2 linked regions of the Tamandua tetradactyla genome follow. The protein of the gene in region 1 binds, or shares a complex with, the protein of each later gene. Links are inferred from orthologs where the notes say so. Each region holds a gene or a part of one and is shown in the gene's direction. Other genes may lie near its edges.

What was found.
Region 2: the proteins of MMP2 (region 1) and TIMP2 are in contact, whole or in part, in a crystal structure (PDB 1GXD), measured with the Homo sapiens proteins. The link is inferred for Tamandua tetradactyla from reciprocal best matches to the Homo sapiens genes MMP2 and TIMP2. Residues at the interface, in NP_004521.1 of Homo sapiens: Trp574, Lys576, Asn577, Lys579, Tyr581, Phe588, Arg590, Lys595, Asp599, Phe602, Lys604, Ile606, Ala607, Asp608, Ala609, Trp610, Asn611, Ala612, Asp615, Tyr636, Leu638, Leu645, Lys646, Ser647, Val648, Lys649, Phe650, Gly651, Ser652; in NP_003246.1 of Homo sapiens: Ile162, Pro163, Cys164, Tyr165, Ile166, Pro169, Leu173, Met175, Val178, Thr179, Phe191, Arg196, Asp198, Ser200, Cys201, Ala202, Trp203, Tyr204, Arg205, Ala208, Lys211, Gln212, Glu213, Phe214, Leu215, Asp216, Glu218.

Annotation. Positions count from the first base shown.
Region 1 is NC_135342.1:49,189,911-49,199,252, forward strand, and holds the start of MMP2 (72 kDa type IV collagenase), read left to right. Parts: upstream 1-5,201; 5' UTR 5,202-5,238; coding exon 5,239-5,394; intron 5,395-8,345; coding exon 8,346-8,572; intron 8,573-9,342.
Region 2 is NC_135332.1:71,287,145-71,297,172, reverse strand, and holds the start of TIMP2 (metalloproteinase inhibitor 2), read left to right. Parts: upstream 1-6,085; 5' UTR 6,086-6,287; intron 6,288-6,441; 5' UTR 6,442-6,553; coding exon 6,554-6,683; intron 6,684-10,028. UniProt on the Homo sapiens protein: Complexes with metalloproteinases (such as collagenases) and irreversibly inactivates them by binding to their catalytic zinc cofactor. Known to act on MMP-1, MMP-2, MMP-3, MMP-7, MMP-8, MMP-9, MMP-10, MMP-13, MMP-14, MMP-15, MMP-16 and MMP-19.

The DNA of each region.
Region 1 (9,342 bases):
TTATCTTTTCACAAGGTTAACTCCATAAGAACTTGTGACCAGAGAGGTAAACATTAAGAAAGAGTTAATTTTGTTAACAACATGGACATGCCCCCTCTCCTGACCTTGTGCCTTCTTTGTCTATGCCCTCTATAAAACTCTTCTACTCCACCCCCCACCCCAATCAATACAGAACATTTTCATTCTGATCTCTGTATATGCCACCATCAGAGCAACTTGACTCCTAGATGAATTTCTTTCTTCACTCCTAGAAGTAAGTCCCTATAATAGAGGTTCATGTCTCAGTCTGTGCCTGGTGTGGTCTCTCAGATGGAAAGGTACCTTCGGGCCAGGAGAATTGGCGAGCCAGCCAGGAGGCTAAAGAAACCGCGGCCTCTGATGGCAGGAACCCTGGGAAAGGAAACTCACAGGGATGGGTACTGGGATGGCCTGTAAAGTCTATGTGGGGAGGGACATCCACACCCCTGGATGAATGGGGTCTGCTAAGGGATTATGGAGATGCTTGTATATCCCTGGCTGGACTAATAGCCCGCCTTTAACAGGCCATGAGACTGTTAGGATCTGCGGGGGGAACCCCAAGGTGGATTGTAGTGATTTCTTCTGTAGATAAGTTCCCTAATAAGGGGAAGGGAGATTTCATGGGGGTAATTCTGGGGCCTGGGGCCACCCACTTGCTTAACTATGTTGTGGTCATCATCGTGTGTGATACAACCATTCCAAGAAGACAAAGAAATTCACAGGTTGAAAGAAGAGATGCAGTTAGAAAGAGATATACAGACTTCCACCTCTGCTTTAGTAACAAGCCTTTCAGAGCAATTAGAGTTTTAAAAAATGATGATATGGAAGTGCTGGCCTGTCTTTATAAAATTTGCAGGCCAAGAAAAGGATCCAGCCAAGGTTAAAACTGTGTTAACTAAAAAGGATTAGAATCAGAAAATCTGGAATCTCTGGGAAGACATTAAGAAATAACCAATACAACTGGAAAAATTAACAAAAGTGCAAATTGTAAAAATTAAGAAAACTTTGATAGGTCTGTGAAATTTAAGTTTTTAGCATCAAATAATATATTGATTTAAACTGCAATTTAGTTTTCTCTCTATTAAAATAATAAAGTTTCTTTGGATTATTAGTCAGCTTTTTGGAAAGAAGTTATTAAAGTTTTTTTCCCCTGAGTAATCAATATAAAATGCAGAAAGTCTGCGTTCTATCAGAATAACTTCTTATACTTTATATTGACTTCATTACATCTTAGTTGTTTAAAAAAAAATCAAATCTCACTTTTAAAGAAGCTGAATCTTTCTCTTGGCTTTGGTTAATAATAAGAGAAAACCAAATATTGTTTCAAACCTGACTACTTTCAACATCTTGCCTTCTCAGGGTCAAGCCCCAAAGGATATCTTTTTATTCCAAACAGTTGCAACGGACTTGTTTTTTCACCTTAAAATAAAATGAAGCAGTAAAACTAGTTAAGTTCATTTGATATAAGTTGCATAGGAAATGTTTAAATAATGTTATAAGAATTTAAAGAAGTTTTCTAACTTGTTGGTTACTGTTCTCATTTGCTAGCTGCCAGAATGCAATATACCAGAAACAGAACAGTTTTTGAAAAGAAAATTTGTAAGTTGCTAGTTTACAGTTCTAAGGCCATGGAAATGTCCCAATTAAAAGAAGTCTATAAAAATGTCCAAATTAAGGTACAACAAGAGGTTACCTTCAATCAAGAAAGGCCGATGAAGTTCAAGGTTTCTCTCTCAACTAGAAAGGCACATGGAGAACATGGCGACATCTACTAGCTTTCTCTCTAGGCTCTTTGCTTATTGAAGCTCCACCAGGGGTGTTTTCCTTCTTCATCTCCAAAGGTCTCTGGCTTCATGGACTCTCTCGTCTCTCGTGGATCTGCCATTTCCTCCAAAATGTTTCCTCTTTTTTAGGAATTCAGTAAAGTAATCAAGACCCACCTGAAATGGGTGGAGTCACATCTCCCGCTAATCAAAAGTTAATACCCACAACAGAGTGAGTCACATGCCTGTGGAGATAATCTAAACAAGTTTTCAACCTAAAGTGCTGAATAGGGATTAAAAGAAAGGGTCACTCCCACCAGATTGGATAAGGATTAGAATGTGGCTTCTCTAGGGCACATAAATACTTTAAAACCAGCACAGTTACTGATCTGCAAAATGGAATACAATATGGTCCTGCTAGTTGTGGTTTTCATTATTTTAAAACATGTAAAAAAGAAATTGGACCTCTGCTTTTAACCAAAGTGTTTACATGTTTAAACCAGGCTCTGAATGCTGTGCATAGCATCTCCCCATTTGAGTTACTGGCACAGCTGGTTTCTATGGCCCCACAAACTATAAAGGTATCAGACACACCTTCTGGTCATGCCCCAGAAGGGGATGGAAACACTTTTTTACTACTGACACCTGCAACCCTGTCTGCTGGAAAAGGCTCAGTGGACACTGCCTCCAGACTGACTGACTGCTCCATAGTACCCAAGGGTGCGATGGAACAGGTTGGTGGAGCCCTGGAGCCCATCTTCCTGTTCGCCAAAGAACCACCAATGCTACAATATGAACAGTGCATCAGAGGTGTATCTACCAGGGAAATAATGGCCAGAGTGATGTGATAAGAACCTAAAAGGATACAACTGGCCCTAAGCCCTGCTTGCATGGAGGAACAGCATGTGTGATATAGTAAGCCTGGCACTTGCAATGTGAGAGCTAATATCCTAAGCCCTAGGGGAGAATGTTTTACAGTAATTTTACTCACAAAAGAGGACTTTCCTATTAGGGTACCTACTAAACGTTTATGTTTGGGCCCCTAAGCTTCTTTCCTGCTTCATCTCAGTTATTTGTCTTGCTTGATTAAGCTGTGGCCATAACAGCATTCCTCAACCAGACTGACTATTAGAGAACATCTGAACAAGACTTGCCCATCCGTGACGTCTGCTTGGGGTGGCCTGAATTAAATGGTTGCTGATTATGGCTTCTTAAGTGCTAGAATTAAAAGACATATCGGTTCTATAATGCTTCTAATTTAGCTGCACGCTAACAGTATTGATTATTTGTCTATCTTGTTACAGTTTATATTGCAGTTGTGGCCTCATTTCTCAATATCACAAGCTGTAAAGCCTCCTGTTCCCACACTCAAGGACGTATATAGAAGAGGTAGCGGAAAGATTGTTAGAGCTGTGGGACAGGGTGAGTTGGAACGTAACGTTTTTGCATTTTTCAGTATCCCCCAACTCTGCCAACTTTGTCAGCAATTATGCACATTCCTGAATCTACTCTCTCAACTCTGTGCCTTCATTATCTTTCCACAAGGTTAACTCCATAAGAACTTGTACCCAGAGAGGTAAACATTAAGAAACAGTTGACTTTGTTAGCAACGTGGACATGTCCCCTCTCCTGGCTCTGTGCCTTCTTTGTCTATGCCCACTATAAAACCCTGCTCCCCACCGCCCACTCATTAATGAGGAACACTGTCACACTGAGCTCTGCATCAGCCACCATCAGAGCAACTTGACTCCTAGATGAATTTCTTTTCTTCATTCCTGTTAGTAAGTCCCTATAATAAAAGCCCACGCCTCAGTTTGCGCCTGGTGTTTTCTTTGGTCTCTTGGCTGGAAAAGCCCCTTCGGGCCGGGACACTCTCCAATAGGGCATGGACATGGGCCAAATGGGGCTGGGCGAGGAGGCAGTCCCGACCCCACTCCAGCCAGACCCCCATTATCTCAGATGCACGCCCCTTGCAAAAGCCAAGGTTTCTCACTGGGTCAGGCTGATGGGCCTGGTCCCTCCTGAGGGGTGAGGTCCCTTCCAAGAGGCTCCTTTAAGTCTGATTTCTGGCAGCCCAGTAGCACATGCCTGCCAGACAAGCCCAAACATAACTGAAGCCCACTGAGACCTGAGCTGCAGAGGCTTTTCGGGCCCTTAAGATAAAGCCAGACACATCTCTGTGACCATCAAGATTCTCTGCAAGCACATGGCTGCTGACCCTTTCGGCTCCATGTCTTTGCTCCTGGAGCTCATCCCTGCTGAGCCCTGTGCCACACTAGACCCTTTTCTGATCCAGGGGCTTCCTTCTCCAGTGCATCTTTCTGTCTTTCATCTCTGGGCTTTTTGCATCTCTTTACCGTGGCCAAAATATCCCTCTTCCAACAATCCCTCTTTCAGCTCTTCAGTTCTCAGCTCAGGAAAACTTCTTCCAGGAAGACTTCCGTGACTGTTTAGGAGCTCAGGCCGAGTGCCACCACAATCCGCAGTCTTTCCCGAGGGGAGGGGGCACTCCTCTGGACAGGGACCGTGACTGCTGTGCTCCCCAGGGTATATCTGGCATCTTGCACTATGTCTGGGCAAAATAAATGCTTATATATTTGCAGAAGAAGGAAGGAAAGTAGGGAGAAAGGAAGAAGGGAGAACACTGATGATCTATCTTTGCTTCTGACCCTTTGTTTCTGACCGTCCCTCCCCATCCAGGACCCATCATCACCGTGGAGTGCAGGGTGTCCTGGCCCACGGGGTCCCCCCATGAACCACTGTTCTCCACCCTGAGGACGTGAAAAGTCTAAAGTCGTGCTAGATGTTTCCTCGTAGCGGCCTCCAGACAATAGGTATATATATATATATATATATTTTTTTTTTTTCTTAATTTGAGGGGGAAGGTATTGTTCGGGGGTGGGAGGAACCCGTGCAGCTAGTGCACGCACTGATGGTGGATTCAGAGGCCGTGGGTAGCTGGTGGAGGTGGAGAAAAGGAGGGGGAGGGGGAGAGGGAGGGGGAGGGTGGGGAGGGAGAAGGGGAGGAATTGGAGGGGGAAGGGGGAGAAGGGGGAGGAGGAGGAGGGCTGGAGGAGGGGTCAGAGAGGGGCGGGCCTGAAAGCGGCCCCCCGCCCCCATAAAGAGCTGCCAGCACCCTCCCAGTCCAGCCGGCCACATCTGGCGGCCGCCCTCCCTTGTTTCCGCCGCATCCAGACTTCCTCCGGAGGTGGCTGGAGGCTGTGCATCTGGAGCTTTAAACATACAAAGGGATTGCCAGGGCCGGCGAGAACAGGCGGTGGCGCGGGCTGCGGCGCAGGGGCCGGACCATGCGCCACTGAGTCGGGCGGAGCCGACCGAGCCGAGCCGGCCCTCGGAGCACAGCGCCGCGCCGCGGAGCAGGCGCCAGCCAGGCGGCGCCGCGGTCACCCGCACCGAGCCAGCGAGTCCCGGGCGACGTGCGGGGCCCGGGAGCGCAATGATGGAGGCGCGAGTGGCCTGGGGCGCCCTCGCCCGTCCCCTGCGGGCGCTCTGCGTCCTGGGCTGCCTGTTGGGTCCCGCCGCCGCAGCGCCGACGCCGGTCATCAAGTTCCCCGGCGACGTCGCCCCCAAAACGGACAAAGAGTTGGCGGTGGTGAGTTGTCGAATTGGCCTCAACAAGCCAAGTTGAAACAAACTTCTGAGGCGGAGAATGGGAGGGGGCGCATGGGCACACGTTGCGGGGAGGGGACTTCAGAAAACAGACTGCTGTATCTTTGGCACAGTGATGGAGAGATCCCTTTTGCAAATGGTGGAGGGGGGGTATTTTGGAAACTGGAGGCCTTTGGTTAAACAACTTGGCAACATTCAGGACACAGCTGGGAGCTGAGAAACAAAGCCGGGCGTGTGTTGGGGGGCGCGGGGGTGCGGATTGCTTTGGCAAACGGTTGGAAAGGGCCCCTTTTGCAAATAACCGGGACATTGTCAAACATCTGTGAGCTTTGGCAAGGGGAGCGGGCTTTGTAAACAACTTTTGGCCACATCTGGGGAGGTGGCTAACGGGGCCTTTGGCAAGCACGTTGGTAGGCCTTTGGCAGACAGCTAAGGGGGTCTCTTTTGCACTTGGGGGAGGAGCTTTTGTGCCTCTGAAGGACTTTGGCAAAGAGGTTCTTTGGCACACAATCTGGGAAAACTTTGGTACGCATAAAGATGGGAGCTCTGGGCAAAGCGAGACCTGGCAGGCGTCTGGGAACCTCTGGCGCACATCTGGAGAGGGGCTTTGGACAACAGCTCCCTGGGACGGTTTGGCAAATAATTGCGTCAGGAGGGAAGCGAGGAGAGCATCTTTTTCTTCTGGCTTGATGGGTAAATTGGCCCGGAGGGTCAAGGTTTGCACCTCTGAGTCTCGGAAAATTTCCTCGAACTTCTCCAAAGTGTTGGCGGACAGAAGAAAAAACTGGCCCGAAGGATGGGTGAAGGGAGGAGCAAAAGGGCGCGGGAGGTCCCCTGGCCCGTGGGGCGGGGGCAGACCGAGCCTGCTCGGGTCGGAGAGCGGCCAACCAGCCCTCCTTCCTGGCCCGCCTCCGAGCGGCGGCTCAGATGCTATTTTCTTTGAGCGCGTGCGCTTGGCTCGAGGGGCAGCGTGGCCACAGCGTTGCATAATCCGGGCTGGAGTGGGGGTGGAGTGGGGGTAGCGCACTCCCCTTTGTCCCTGTAAGCTCCTCCACCCTGTCCTGGAGCCTCTCCGGGTGGAAGGGCTCCTCCCATTTCGCAGTAGTCTTGACCCCTTTTTGCTTCTGCCACCCTGGAGAGCCGCTCTTCTCCATCCATCCAACCTGGTCCCCAGCCTGCTCAGGACAGGGCTCCCATGCCCTCTGGTCACCCTGGGAACTCTTTCTCGGGATGTGACATCTCCAGTATCTGGGTCTCTGCCACTTGTTCATTAGATGGGTTGGGAGACATCCGTACATTCGTAGGGAGCTGCCTTTTTTCAAAGGCTTAGTGCTGGACCTCTTAATGTGGCTGTTGGTGGGGGCTAAGGGTGGAACTTTGGAGCAGTGACAAAGCCACCTGGGTCTCCACACCTTCTCCAGCCTATGCATGTCTGTGTTACCAAGAGGCAATTCAGAGGAGTGCTTTGGAAGGTAGGCTTTAGATCCAAGTGTGAGCCAGCTGACTCACACAGTGAGTGTCAACTTTGCTGAGTCTCAAGTTTCTTCATCTGCGAACTGAGGATAATCAGCCTACCTGTCCTGGCACTAGAGAGGTTGTCTTAGGCACTGAGAAGTACCTGGTACATGATAAGTACTCAATAAGCATTAGCTGTTGTTATATTAATAGTAGTAGTCGTATAATTATTATTATGCCCTTCATTTCCCCTCATCTTATTAGCAGAAATGCCATTCTTTAGATGTTGCTTCTCAGGTCTGCAGGGTAGCTTTTCCTATTACCCTTAGCCCCTAAACAGTGGGATGGAGAAGCCATCATGAGGTCTCCAGGCCCTTTTCATCATTGCCATATACTTATCATATGTTTAACTTTGCATATATTTGTGTTCCATGTCACCTTCCCTATGCTGGGATTTCAACCCCAGAGACCAGAAGCATTACCTGTCTTCTTCACCAGTTTATTCCCAGCACTAGCCTGGAACATGGATTGACCTTGAAAACATTGTACTGAGTGGAAAAAGCAAAGGCACTTAAAGGGCAAATACCGTATGATTCCACAGATATGGAATACCTAGAAATAGCAAATTCATAGCTATCCAAAGTAGAATAGAGTTTACCAGGGAAGGGAAAGGGGCAAGTATTTCTTGGTGGGTATAGAACACTGGTAAATTTTAGAAATTTTGAAGTAAAATTAATTTTAAAGTGAAGTATTTGCTGGATAAATGAGTTGGCTGATCCCTGAACCTCTGCAGGAGCCTGTTTGGTTTGAGTCTTGGGTTGGGCGGAGCCAGCTGCACAGACCATTTTGTTTTTTTTTGGAAACAGCAGACCCAGAATTTGAACCCAGGTTGTCTGCTGCTAGAGCCGACGCACATCGCCCCTGAGTGTCCTTATAAGAAAGGGGGAGAAAATAATCCCTATGTCGCTGGCTTGACATTGGGGATTGAACGAGACAATGGACGTAAAGCAGGGCGGTGGCATGTCACAATTCCAAACATCTGGTCCTGGAGCCGGGTTGCTTGGGCCCAAATCCAGCTCTGCCATTTGTGAACTGTGTGATCTTAGACAAGTTTCTTAACCTCTCTGTGTATTGGTTTTTTTCTTCCATATGATGGGGATAGTAATCATATTTACATTATGGAGTTGTTGTGAGTGAGCATTAAATGATTTAAGACAGATTGACTTCAATGCCTGGGCATATCGTAATCCCCTAACACAGGGTAACCATGCTCCCTATGGTTGACGGGCCACTCAGCTGGAGGGTGACAGCTGGTTTTGAAACACAGGCTTCCTAACTTCCAGCCAGTGCTCCTGAGTCTCCAGACTACCTCCTGTCTGCGCTGCAGGGCTGGGCTGGGGCTGCTTCCTGTAGCCTACCATGGCCGATGCTGTGCCGTCCTAACATGGCTGCCCTCCTCGGGACACTCATGTCTTCTAGCAATACCTGAACACCTACTATGGCTGCCCCAAGGAGAACTGCAACCTGTTTGTGCTGAAGGACACACTGAAGAAGATGCAGAAATTCTTCGGGCTGCCCCAGACGGGCAAACTTGACCAGAACACCATCGAGACCATGCGGAAGCCACGCTGCGGCAACCCTGATGTGGCCAACTACAACTTCTTCCCCCGCAAGCCCAAGTGGGACAAGAACCAGATCTCATACAGGTGCTGAGGCCAGGCTTGGGGAGGCAGGGCCATCAACCTGGGGCTGGCAGACTGGGGACCCTGAGTTTCCTAGGCCTTGCCTTTTCCACTCTGGTATCTTTTGTAAGGCATGGCATCTTAATGGTTCCCATGCAGTGTTCTTAGGAGCTCTGGTCAGACAGTCTCACATGTAATAGCTGTGGCGCATTGGGGGACTTACTTTCCAATGCTTGGAGCTTTGGCTTTTCCATCTACAACGTGGGGCTAATGGAAACTTTCCTTATAGGGTTGTTGGAGAACTAAGCTAGGTTGCATATGGAAAGGGCTTTTCTCAGTGTCTGGCATGTAGCAAGAATATTGTAAATCTTAGTCATTATTGTTATTATTAGATGGAGTCACTGGCATGGGAGTGTGGTGGAAGGAATCCAGTGACTGGTTGCTAATTTGGCTAGGGAGACCCTCCCAGGCTGAGAGGTTGGCCCTGTATAGCTGATGCTGGATTCCAAGGGTGAGATCTCTCCCCTGTGTCCCTGTGTCCCACCAGACAGGCTGCCCCTGCCAGCCTGGAGTGAGAAATGAGACTCCTGGGATGGGCTTGAGAATGTTGGCTGGTCTGGGACGCCACAGGCCTCAAGATTTTCCGGGAGGGTTGCTCCCACAATGAGCTCTGCTTGACACACGCGTACCAGTACCTGCATATGCATACACGTATGCATGCACTTGCACACAAGTATACGTATTCATATGCACACAATCATGCACCTCAGTGCATACTTGTTTGCATGCATGAA
Region 2 (10,028 bases), on another chromosome or scaffold:
GGTGGCACTCTCCTAAGGCCGACAGTTTCACGGGTCTCTGCCCTGCACCAGCACAGCCTCCCCTTCTCGGCTCCTTCTCTTCTGGAGGTGGGGCACCCGGCGTTTGCACCCAACAGCACGGAGGCGCTGGGTCCCCGCCGGTGGTGGAGGAGGCTGCGCCCTGCCCAGGGCAATGTGCCGCAGAGGGGAAGGGCCAGCTGGCAGAAGGTGGGGGGCCCAGTCTCCAGTCCTCCTCGCCTTCTTAAAGGTGCCGGGCGGCACGACAGAAGAGCCGCCAGGGACACAGCCAAAGGGCCCAAAGGAACAAGCAGAGAGGATGGGTGGAAGCACGCAAAGGGAAACGAAAAGCTGCAGCCAGGAAAGACGGATAGCGCCACATAGAAAATAGAGGAAAATCCGTATTTCTGCCCAAAGAGGTGTTCACTTTAGGGCTGAACCCACGTCTGAAAACTGCGTTCCCTGCACAAGGGACAGGGTGTAAGACCTGCATTCTGTCCCCTAGGCTTCTGCCACCCAGGGGCGCCCTTCATATATATTTTTTATTATTAATTTGTATATTTCTTCTTTTTTTTATTTCCTCCTGCTCATCTTTATTTGTATCATCTCAATCGACTTTTTCCCCTTTTTTTGTGAAAAATAACATATACACAAAAAAGCACTAAATTTCAAACCACATCACGACAATTAGTTGTAGAACAGATTTCAGAGTTTGGTATGGGTTATAATTCCACAGTTTTAGGTTTTTACTTCTAGCTGCTCTAAGATACTGCAGACTAAAAGAAATATCAATTCAATGATTGAGCACTCATACTCATTTGTTAAATCCTATCTTCTCTGTTATAACTCCTCCTTCTCCTTTGATCTTTCTCCCAGTCTTTGGGGGTATATGGGCTATGCCCAGTCTAACTTTTTCATGTGGAAGGGGCTGATAATAATATGGGATGGGGGATGGAACTATCTGATGTTCTGGAGAGGCTGGGCCCTTTAGGTTTCAGGACTTATCTGGTCCAGGGTCCCATCTGGAGGTTGAAGGTTTCTGGAAAGTTACCCTAGAGCATGGAACCTTTGTAGAGTCTTATATATGCCCTAGGTGTTCTTTAGGATTGGCTGGAATGGTTTTGGTTGGGGTTTGACAAGCTACGATAGGTAGTAATGTCCAACTGAAGCTTAACCATGCTCAAGTGTCCACACAGCCACGCCCCCTTTGCCTTACTGTCTCCTTGACAAAAACGCAGCCTCGTTCCTTATCTGTCTCTGTATCATGCTTTCTGTATCATGCTTTTCTCGGGTTCAAAGACCATGATCAGTCTCCCTAAGTTAGTGGGTCTCTAGCAGGGCGATTTCTAGCAGGGATGTTTGACAAGGTCAAGAGGTGGTTTGGGTTGCCGCCACATGGGGTGGGATTTGCTACTGGAATGTAGAGGCCGGAAGCTGGGGGTGCTGCCTGAAAGTTCACGGTGGCGAGGAGAACCCCTGCCACGAGGAAAGATGCAGCCCAGATGTCAGCCCTGCCGAGGCTGAGCTCAGACGCGCCGGCTGGAGTGAAGGAGAGATGGGAATCAACACCCAGTGCCGAATGCCACAATGCCGAGCAGACTGACAGGTCCCCGCCCGCATGCCGTCACTTCTGACTCACTCTCCTGCCATCCTCGTGGTGTTCTGGGGACGCTGTGTACAGGTACCTGGGCTGGGCCAAGTGTCTGGCACTCAGAGTGGATGGGAAGGTCCATCGTAACCCTGGTGCACCCCATCAATCGAGGGGGCCACACATCACAGTACCGCGGTCCTCTTCCCAGCCAGCCAGACCCACGGACAGGTTCCCTCCCCCTATAGCCACCCATTCTCTGCTGTCCCCAGACCTGTCCATGACACTGCCCTCCTTTGGGAACTGCGGCCCCATGACTTCAGGTCCTTCTTCCTGAATGCACGGGGCCAACTGCTATGCCCATACGCTGAGCAGTGTGCCCAGCTCTCCAGAACCTGCCAGAAAGAGTGTGGGGGCTTCTGTTCCGCTCAAGCTGTCTCTAGGGAGGGAATGCTATATGTTCAAGAGGAAATGGACCTCATCCAAACTGGGAGAGTGGATCTACCGAGAACAGGCGCTTCCGCTGCCTGTCTCACGGCCGGATGGGCGTGGAGTGCGGCTGAGTGGGGCCAAAGGCCGGTGGACATGGGAACCAGAGAGGAGCGGAGGAGAAGAGCTCGTCAAGCCTGTTGGCATTTCCTCCTGGCCCCTGGATGGTATTTACTCGGCCAAGCCCAGGCTGTGTTTCTGGGTGTGTGTGGACAGAGGTGGGGTAAGCTGAGGGTGCTGGCCAACTCAGGCCTGTGAGATCTCTGGGGGGGCAGGGCCAGTCTTCCTGATCGGCAGCAAGGTCCGAGGGACCCTGGAAGCCCCTCCCTGCACACCTAGCTCCCCCATGCCAGCAGGTGCCACGCTGCCTCCTATCTGCCCTCCTCCCCCAGCCCCCACTTGGAGCCATGGGTCAAAGTACATACAGATTCCAAGACAGGGGCTCTCCTAGAGCTCCCACCTGTCCCACCCAGCAATGTCAAGGTGAGCGGCAGAGGAGGCTGGTTGAACAGTGAGAAAGAGGTTGCCAGCTACAGCCCCGGGGCCTCCTTCCTCATCCCCGACCCTGCCCTCCCTCCTGCCCAGAAACCACCCTGCTTTCATGAGCCATGGGACATAGGGCAGAGAGCCACTGAAAGAGCGATTTGGGGAGGGTGGCAGGCACCTTTAGTAGATTCCTTCTCTGCTTCCTTGGCTTAGGGATGGGGAGAGAAGGTGGAGGGCAAGTGTGAGGGGGCCTTAAGGAGGGGCCGGCAGACTCAGGTGGGCTGTGGGAGCCAAGGACCCTGCAGGGACAAGACGGGGGCTGCGGGCTGGGAGGGGCAGACCTGGGTTCCAGGGATCAGCCTTTGGCCCTCCCCTGCTATGTCCGAGGGGGAGTCCCTTTACCCCTCAGGTGAGATGCCTGCACAGGACTTAGCCCGACTTCCCCCACCGCAGCCATCGTATGCAGAAAGCTTTCCATCACCATTTTTGAGGATGGAAAGGTAGAGGGCTGGCAAGGTCAGCCAAGGTCGTCTGGCTGCCAGGGGGGGCCGGTTGCCGGGTGGCTCTGAGTTAACCTGCCTCTCTCTCCCATCTCCTTGCCATCCTGCTCCCTGCCCCCACTCTTGCCCTACCCACCACATCACTTTGTCCTGGTAGAACATGAACTGGACCCTCTCCCACCTCTGCTCCAACCTTCTTCCTGCTCCCTGCCCAGCCTCTTGACCAGACTCCTACCTCCTTCTCCTCTGGCCGCCCTGATCTCCTACCCCAACCTCCTGCCCCAGCCTCTGGGCCTCAGGATCTTTCCACCTGCCGCTCCCAGGGCCTTCTGTCCACTCTGGTGACTTCTGAATCCTCTGCTCTCAGATCGGTGGCTAGTCCACAGTAGACGCTCAAAGAAATATTTGTTGATGGAAGGAAGGTAAGGAGAGAGGGAGGAAGGGAGAAAAAGAGGGAGGGAGGAATCTGCAAAGCAAGGAGTGGAGGGAATCTAGTTTTCTGTATCAGATGCTCTGATTTGTGGGGTGTGGGGAGAGGGGATAGTTCCCCTCCCTCCTGAGCCCTCCCTGGCCTCCCCCCCCACCCCTGTGTTCCTTCCTCTCTGCTCACTGCGCTCCTGGGCTCCTGCCTTAGGGAATCATTGTCAACTCCCCTGCAGGCCCATCCCATCTGCCATGAAAGTCCCAGCTTATCCTTTGAAAATCATCCCCTCCCTTCTTCTCTCTCTCCTCCCTCATTCATTCAGCAAGTATGTAATGAACTCTTAACACGTACTAGGCCTGGGGACACAGAAACAAACAAAACAACAATTTCTTTCCCCTGGAGCTTCTACTCAGTGGGGGAAAGGATAGATTATAACTAAATTAAGTTTACTATTTTAAGTGGTGATGGAAAAATTGGGCCAGGAGAGGGGATGGGGAGAATGGGGTGGGCTGGACCCCACCGTGGGAGGATGGAGATGCCATTATCGAGAAGGGGAACTGTGGCAGCTTTGTGTTTGGCCATGCAAGACACAGGTGGGAGATGAGAGGGGCCTGCAGAGGGCACCGGATGACAGGCATGCAGGCCAGAGGGCCAGGAGAGATGGAGATGGCACCCCGCCAGCCAAGGGGGGGAGCTCGGGAGGAGGGTGTGCCCAGTGTGTCCAGTAAGACACGACTCAGCCTGTGGGAGTTAGATCTGCGTGACCTTGACAGAGTGACCGATGGGGCCAGGTTGGAGCATGAGCAAAGGAGAAGGGAGGAGGAGAACTGGAAACTTCTCGTCCAGGTGGCTGCTTGTAAGAGATTCACTCTAAGGGAGCAGAGCAACCGGCACTGCGGTGGCAGAAGTGTGGTCCCGAGTACAGGTTTGCTCACCTGCTGCGGGGAGAAACTCCAGCCTGTTGATGTGCTGGTGGGAATGCTTCAGTGGGAGGGAATTCTAAGGCAGGTGAGGTGTGTCTGCCCCATGAGAGGTTCAGGTCAGACCCTTTACTTCCTCTTGATACCTACAGTGAAGCCATCAAACTCACCTGGAAGGTATTTATCCCACTAATGTACACTTACTTACATGGATATCTTACCTAAAAGACCGAGTCCCTAAATTATGTGTTTCTTTCCTAAAAACTAACATATTGGTTCAAGGTTCTGGATATCTTGGTAGCCTTTTGTTCCACTCATAATGGAAAAAAAGAAAGAGAAATGGAAAGGTTACAGCCATTCAGTGTGCAATGATTTTCTGAATGAACTGTACTTTAAACAGTTAACATCAAACATCATTTCCTGAACAACACAACCACATTTTACACTAACAAAAGCTGGAAAAAAGTGGCTTTGGGTTTGCTGCGGTACTCGAAACCACTGCTCTGAAGATGAACTTTTCTCCAACTTGTGTGGTTCGAGGCACGCACAAACAGAAAAACGTTTTTCCAATTGTTCCAATTTTCTCCAAAGTTTCATATCTCAAGTCAGCACCACACAATGCAGCTGACAATTGTTTCTTAATCATGTCATCTCCCTCCTTTTGCATCTCCCTACCTAGATTAGAGACACCCTGTGAGACTCGGAGGGGTGCGGGGTCCAGGCAGGGTCAGTGACAGGTAGATGGGGTCCCTATGGACACCCACTCCCCATACTCCTCTTGCTGCCCTGGCCTTTGAGTCCCTCGGCCTTTCCTGGAACTCAGAACTGTTCTGGGAAAAATCCTTCTCCTGCTCCAAAAAATGTGAGCCAGGGGAGGGAGCTGAGGGGGGGGCCAGACAGTGCCTTTCTTACAATCCTACTGGCTTAGGGGCTCACAGGCCCACCCCCTTCCCCTTGTTGGCTGGTCAAAAATATGGCCAGTTTATGTAAAATCCTGTTTTGTTCAGTAACCACTCCCCTCTCCTCCCCCACCCCCCACCCCCAACTAAACTGGCCAAGTGCACTTAAAATTCTAAGGCCTCCATCTGGAAAAGGAGCCCAGGGTCAGTTTCACACAGGTCATCTGCCCAAACGGACACAGGGGAAGGGGTGGCAGGGAATGACCTCTGCTCCGAAGGGCACATCCCTTTTGCTGGAAGGAAAGGGACCCCAGGGGTTAGGAGGGAATCCCACAGTGCCCTCCTCCAGCGCCCAGCTAAGAGGCGAGGGGTGACCGACCACCGCTTGGTGCCCTTGAGCCATGGCTGCGCTGTCCCCAATGCTGAGTCAGAGCCCAATGGGCGCTGCCCGCTCCTGTGCACCCCTCCTCCCGACCTCAGGCGATTTGGGGGGCTGCCCCGGGGGGTAGGAGGCCGGGGCTGGGCGCAGTGCGCGCCGGCGGCCAGCAGCGTGGTTCAGGCCCGGGGGCGCGGAAAGCAACCCCCGCCCGCCTCCCCTCCCCCGCCCGCCGTGCCAGGCTGGGCACAACAAAAGCCCGGGTTTTGGGGAGGGCCGGGGAGGCGCGGGAGGCGCGGGAGGAGGGGGCTGCTGGGAGCGCCCGGAGCCTGCACTGGCCGCCCGCCACCGGGAGGAGGGGCGCCAAATCCTTCGAGCGCAGTAAAACGCCCGGCTCGGCCCGCGCCCGCCGCAAACACATCCATAGAAGGCAGTCGGCGGCGCCGGGGACCAGGCTGCGGCGCACGCTCTCGCCTCGCCGCCCCCCGCTCCGCTGTCGTCTCCGCCCGGTAAACGGCTGCCCCCCAGCCCACCCCAGTGTCCCCCGACCCTGCTCCCCGCCAGGCCCGCGCCGCCCCCGAGACAAAGAGGAGAGAAAGTTTCGGCGGGTGAGTACGGCCAGGTGCGGAGGGATGTGCCGGGGCGCGGGAGGGGGTACCCCGCCTCGACCCCCCAGCCCCGGGCCGCGCCCCGAAGCGGAGCGCGCAGCCTGAGCGTCCCCCCAACCCCCCCCACCCCCGCCCCTCCTGTGCCCCCCACCAGCCCGCCGGAGAGGAGCCGCGCGGCCCGGAGAGGAAGCGGCGGCGGTCGAGCCAGGAGCCCGAGGAGCGGAGAGCAGCGCCCTGCCCGGCCCGCGCCGCGCCCCCGGCCCGCCATGGGCACCGCGGCCCGCAGCCTGCGGCTGGCGCTCGGCCTCCTGCTGCTGGGGACGCTGCTTCGCCAGGCCGACGCCTGCAGCTGCTCCCCGGTGCACCCGCAACAGGCGTTTTGCAATGCAGATGTAGGTAAGGAGCGGCGCCCCCTGCCCCCCGCCTGCATCCCCACCTCCCCCCCAACCCCGCGGGCACCGCGACCACCCCGCTGCTGCCGCGAGCCGCCCGCTTCTCGCAGGGACCCAGCGCCGGCCTCTGGGTCGCTCGGCCTCCTTGGAGAATCCTGCAAGTTGACGCCAAATCGTACTTTCTCTTTCCCCTTCCTTCCCTCCCTTCTTTTCCCCTCTCTGCCGAGATGCTTCTGAACCTCAAAATTCCACCGAAATTTCACTGCAGCCCAGCCCCCGAGAAGGGAGCCAGGGAGCCCATTGCGGATTGGGATTTGGCAGGCGTCGCACCCTGGGTGGGCAGAGTGGGGGACACAGTGGGTGGGTGGGTGTGGGCAGGAGCAGTTCCGTCTCTGTAGTCTAGAAGAGTGAAGACCCTCGGTAGAAACTTTCGCAGGGGACACAGGAGTTGAGCTCCCCTGGGCTTGTGGCTGGGTGAGGAAGGGCTTCTCCCAACAGCCCCATTTGGGGGGTTGCCTGATTGAGGGGGGAGGCCTCCCTGTCCCTGGCTATGGGAAAAGCAGGTTAAAGCCCCAGGGGCCCGGTTGCTGGCTGACTGCCTTCCCTGCCCGGGAGACCCTGCAAACAGGACTGAACAGGGAGGGAGGAGGGCCCTTCCATAGTATGCTCCCAGTGATGGCTTTTTTTTTCCTTTCCTGGACATCTGCAAAAACTGGAGACTTGTGACTGGAGGGGACAGGGCGGGGCTCGTGTGACTGCTTTAATTCCCCAGCAAACATATATTCCCCCCAGGACTCCTTGCCCCCAAAAGGTGGGAGGAGACAGTTATTTGTTGAGATCCATGGAGGGGCAGAAGTGGGGAGCCCTGCAGGCCTGGCAATCATGAGCCACCAGGAAGTCGGGATTTTCCCCAGACGAGTTTATTTCCACCAAAATGAGGGATGACCACAGGTCAGCTTCTGCAGCCCCCTCTGCCTTTGGGTTTATTTTTCACTTAGCCGGCCAAGCAGCCCCCCACCACACCAGATGTGGGAGGCAGGGTGTTCCCCAGATGCAAAGCCGGAACCTCTCTCTTTCCCCTGTTGTCATACCCTCCCCGCACCCAGACTCCTTGCCTTATCCCAGTCGGCCTTCGGGCCTCTGCCGGTGAGGCTGGACGGTCTCCAGTGGCCCTGACATGTGGGAACTGGTGTGTGGCTGGGCCGCCTTGGGGCGTGGCGAAGTCATTTCCACAAAACCTGATTTGGCTGAAGTGAGGTATGTTTTCCGATTTGGCTTTGGTGCACAGAAAGATCTGGGGGAGAATCAGAGGCTCCTCCTGACGGGGACGCCCGGGTTGGCCTTCCCATGGGGTGTCCACGGGCGACAGACTCTTGCAGTCCCTTTTTGCAAAGAGAGAGAGAGAAAGCTGCACTTTTGCAGTCATGGGGCAGTCATGGCACGGGGCAGAACCAGTTCAAGACCCTGGAGAGAAATTCAGGGCCATGAGACTCAGGTTTGATCTGCAGAAGCTGAGCTGGAGGAGCTAGACCCTGGACCACCCAGCCCCCTCAGCTGCCACGGGGAGAATTTCCAGCCAGCCTCTCTAACCTATTCCCCTGCCTCTTCCGTGCTGCTTGCCCAGTTGGAGAGTATGTTTCTGCTTTGGGTTTGGATTCTGGAGCTTCAGTCTGCCCTGAGGCTCCTTCTCACTTTCTGCATTCCTGGGCTCTGCCTAGATTTCCCAACACTTGTGTCTAAATCATTGCATCAAAATCATCCTCTAGCCAGTGCTTTCCCCCACCCCAGCCCAGAGTCCCCTTCAGGCCCAGAGTTGCACTTCAGAGGCAGGCTGCCCTCTTACTCCACCATCATCCCTTCTCAGTCTGGCCGGCTGGGGGTACAGAACCAAGGGCCTCCCAGCTGAGGCCCATGCAAGCTGGGCCCCTGGAAGCCCTGGAATAAAGGTGACAGTGAAAGCCAGGACCTTCTGAATTTTCTCTCCTCCCTTTAGAGGTACAGGCTTGAGATCTTCTCAGCAGAGCTTCCCCACTCAGTCTGGGAGCAGAATTGCGAGGGGACAGGCTTTGGTGGTTTTCGGAGCTCCTTGGGTGGCTCAGTACAGCCAGAGCTGTTTCCCAGGGGTCCCAACAGGAAGGTTGCTGGCCCAAGGCATGCGAGTGGGAGCCTGACTCTTTCACGTGGCATGCCTGCTCCTCTAATTGTGGGTTGGGTGCAGACTTATTAAAATGTCCTGGTGTCTACAAGAGACAATTGGCTTCAGAAACAATCACATCTCCTTAATTAAACAAGTCTGTCCATGAACAGATTTCTGGGAGGGCTCTTCCTATATCCTGCAAGCAGTGGGATTGGAACCGTGATCAACAAAGAGATGCATTGTGAGGTTGTAACATTTAGGGTGTGTGGAGTGGTAAGATTTCTTTTCTCCTCCAGCACAGTCAGGCCCCACAGGAAGCACCACCCATCTCAATGAGGGTGCAGCCTGACTCCTTTCATCTAATGGAGTCCTTCGCCATCTCCTGCAAGCCTGCTTAGCTCCAGAAAGCTGGCTCGAAACCAGCGATGGGCTTACGGTACCACAGCACGTGGAGCCTGGAGGCACTTAGCCAGCTGAGCTACCTGGCACGCTTGGGCTGCCTGGCCAGCTCCCAGAGCCCAGGGTAAACCTGGGAGCTCACTGGACCTAGAGAATGAATCTCCCCTTTGGCCTTCGGTGGTGGTACCCAGAGCCACATTATCCCAGAAGAGCTCCTGTGATGCCATCTTTCTCAGCATGTTCCCTCTTCCAGGAACTGCTTTCTCCAAACTCACAGGCGGTCTCCAGCACAAGGTAAAGGGGCCCACAGCCAGGGCACCAAAAGAACCACGTGCTAGCTTCCAGGGGGGCTGGGCCAAAGGTGGCCTGATTTTCAGTGGGACGCAGTGGGCCCTGTGCATGCCCCTCTGGGGACCAGACCAGCAGGGACATCCTCAAAAGCAGTTCCCTCCTCCCCAGACATGAGTGCTCAAGATTGGGCCCCTACGTGCTGAATCAGGTCCTCAGTACCTGGCAGGGGGGATGGGGAGAGCGGGACAGGAGTCCTCGTTAGAGACACTGTTGGCCGCGCCACCACAAAGGGCATGGTTGATCATTCCGCACAGCACAGTTTTCCTTTTGGGTCTGTCTGTGTTTCTGCAGGCAGTTGTGGAGGGGCTAGCTCTGCTGCAGGGGGTTATGTGAGAAGTGGGACTGCCCTCAGGAGGGAGAAACTAAGCATGCAAAACCAGGCAGGGTGGACCAGAGCGAGGGGAAGCCCTGCAGACCTTCCCTGACTGCCAGGGCCTGGATCAAGTAGGGCCGACTTGACTG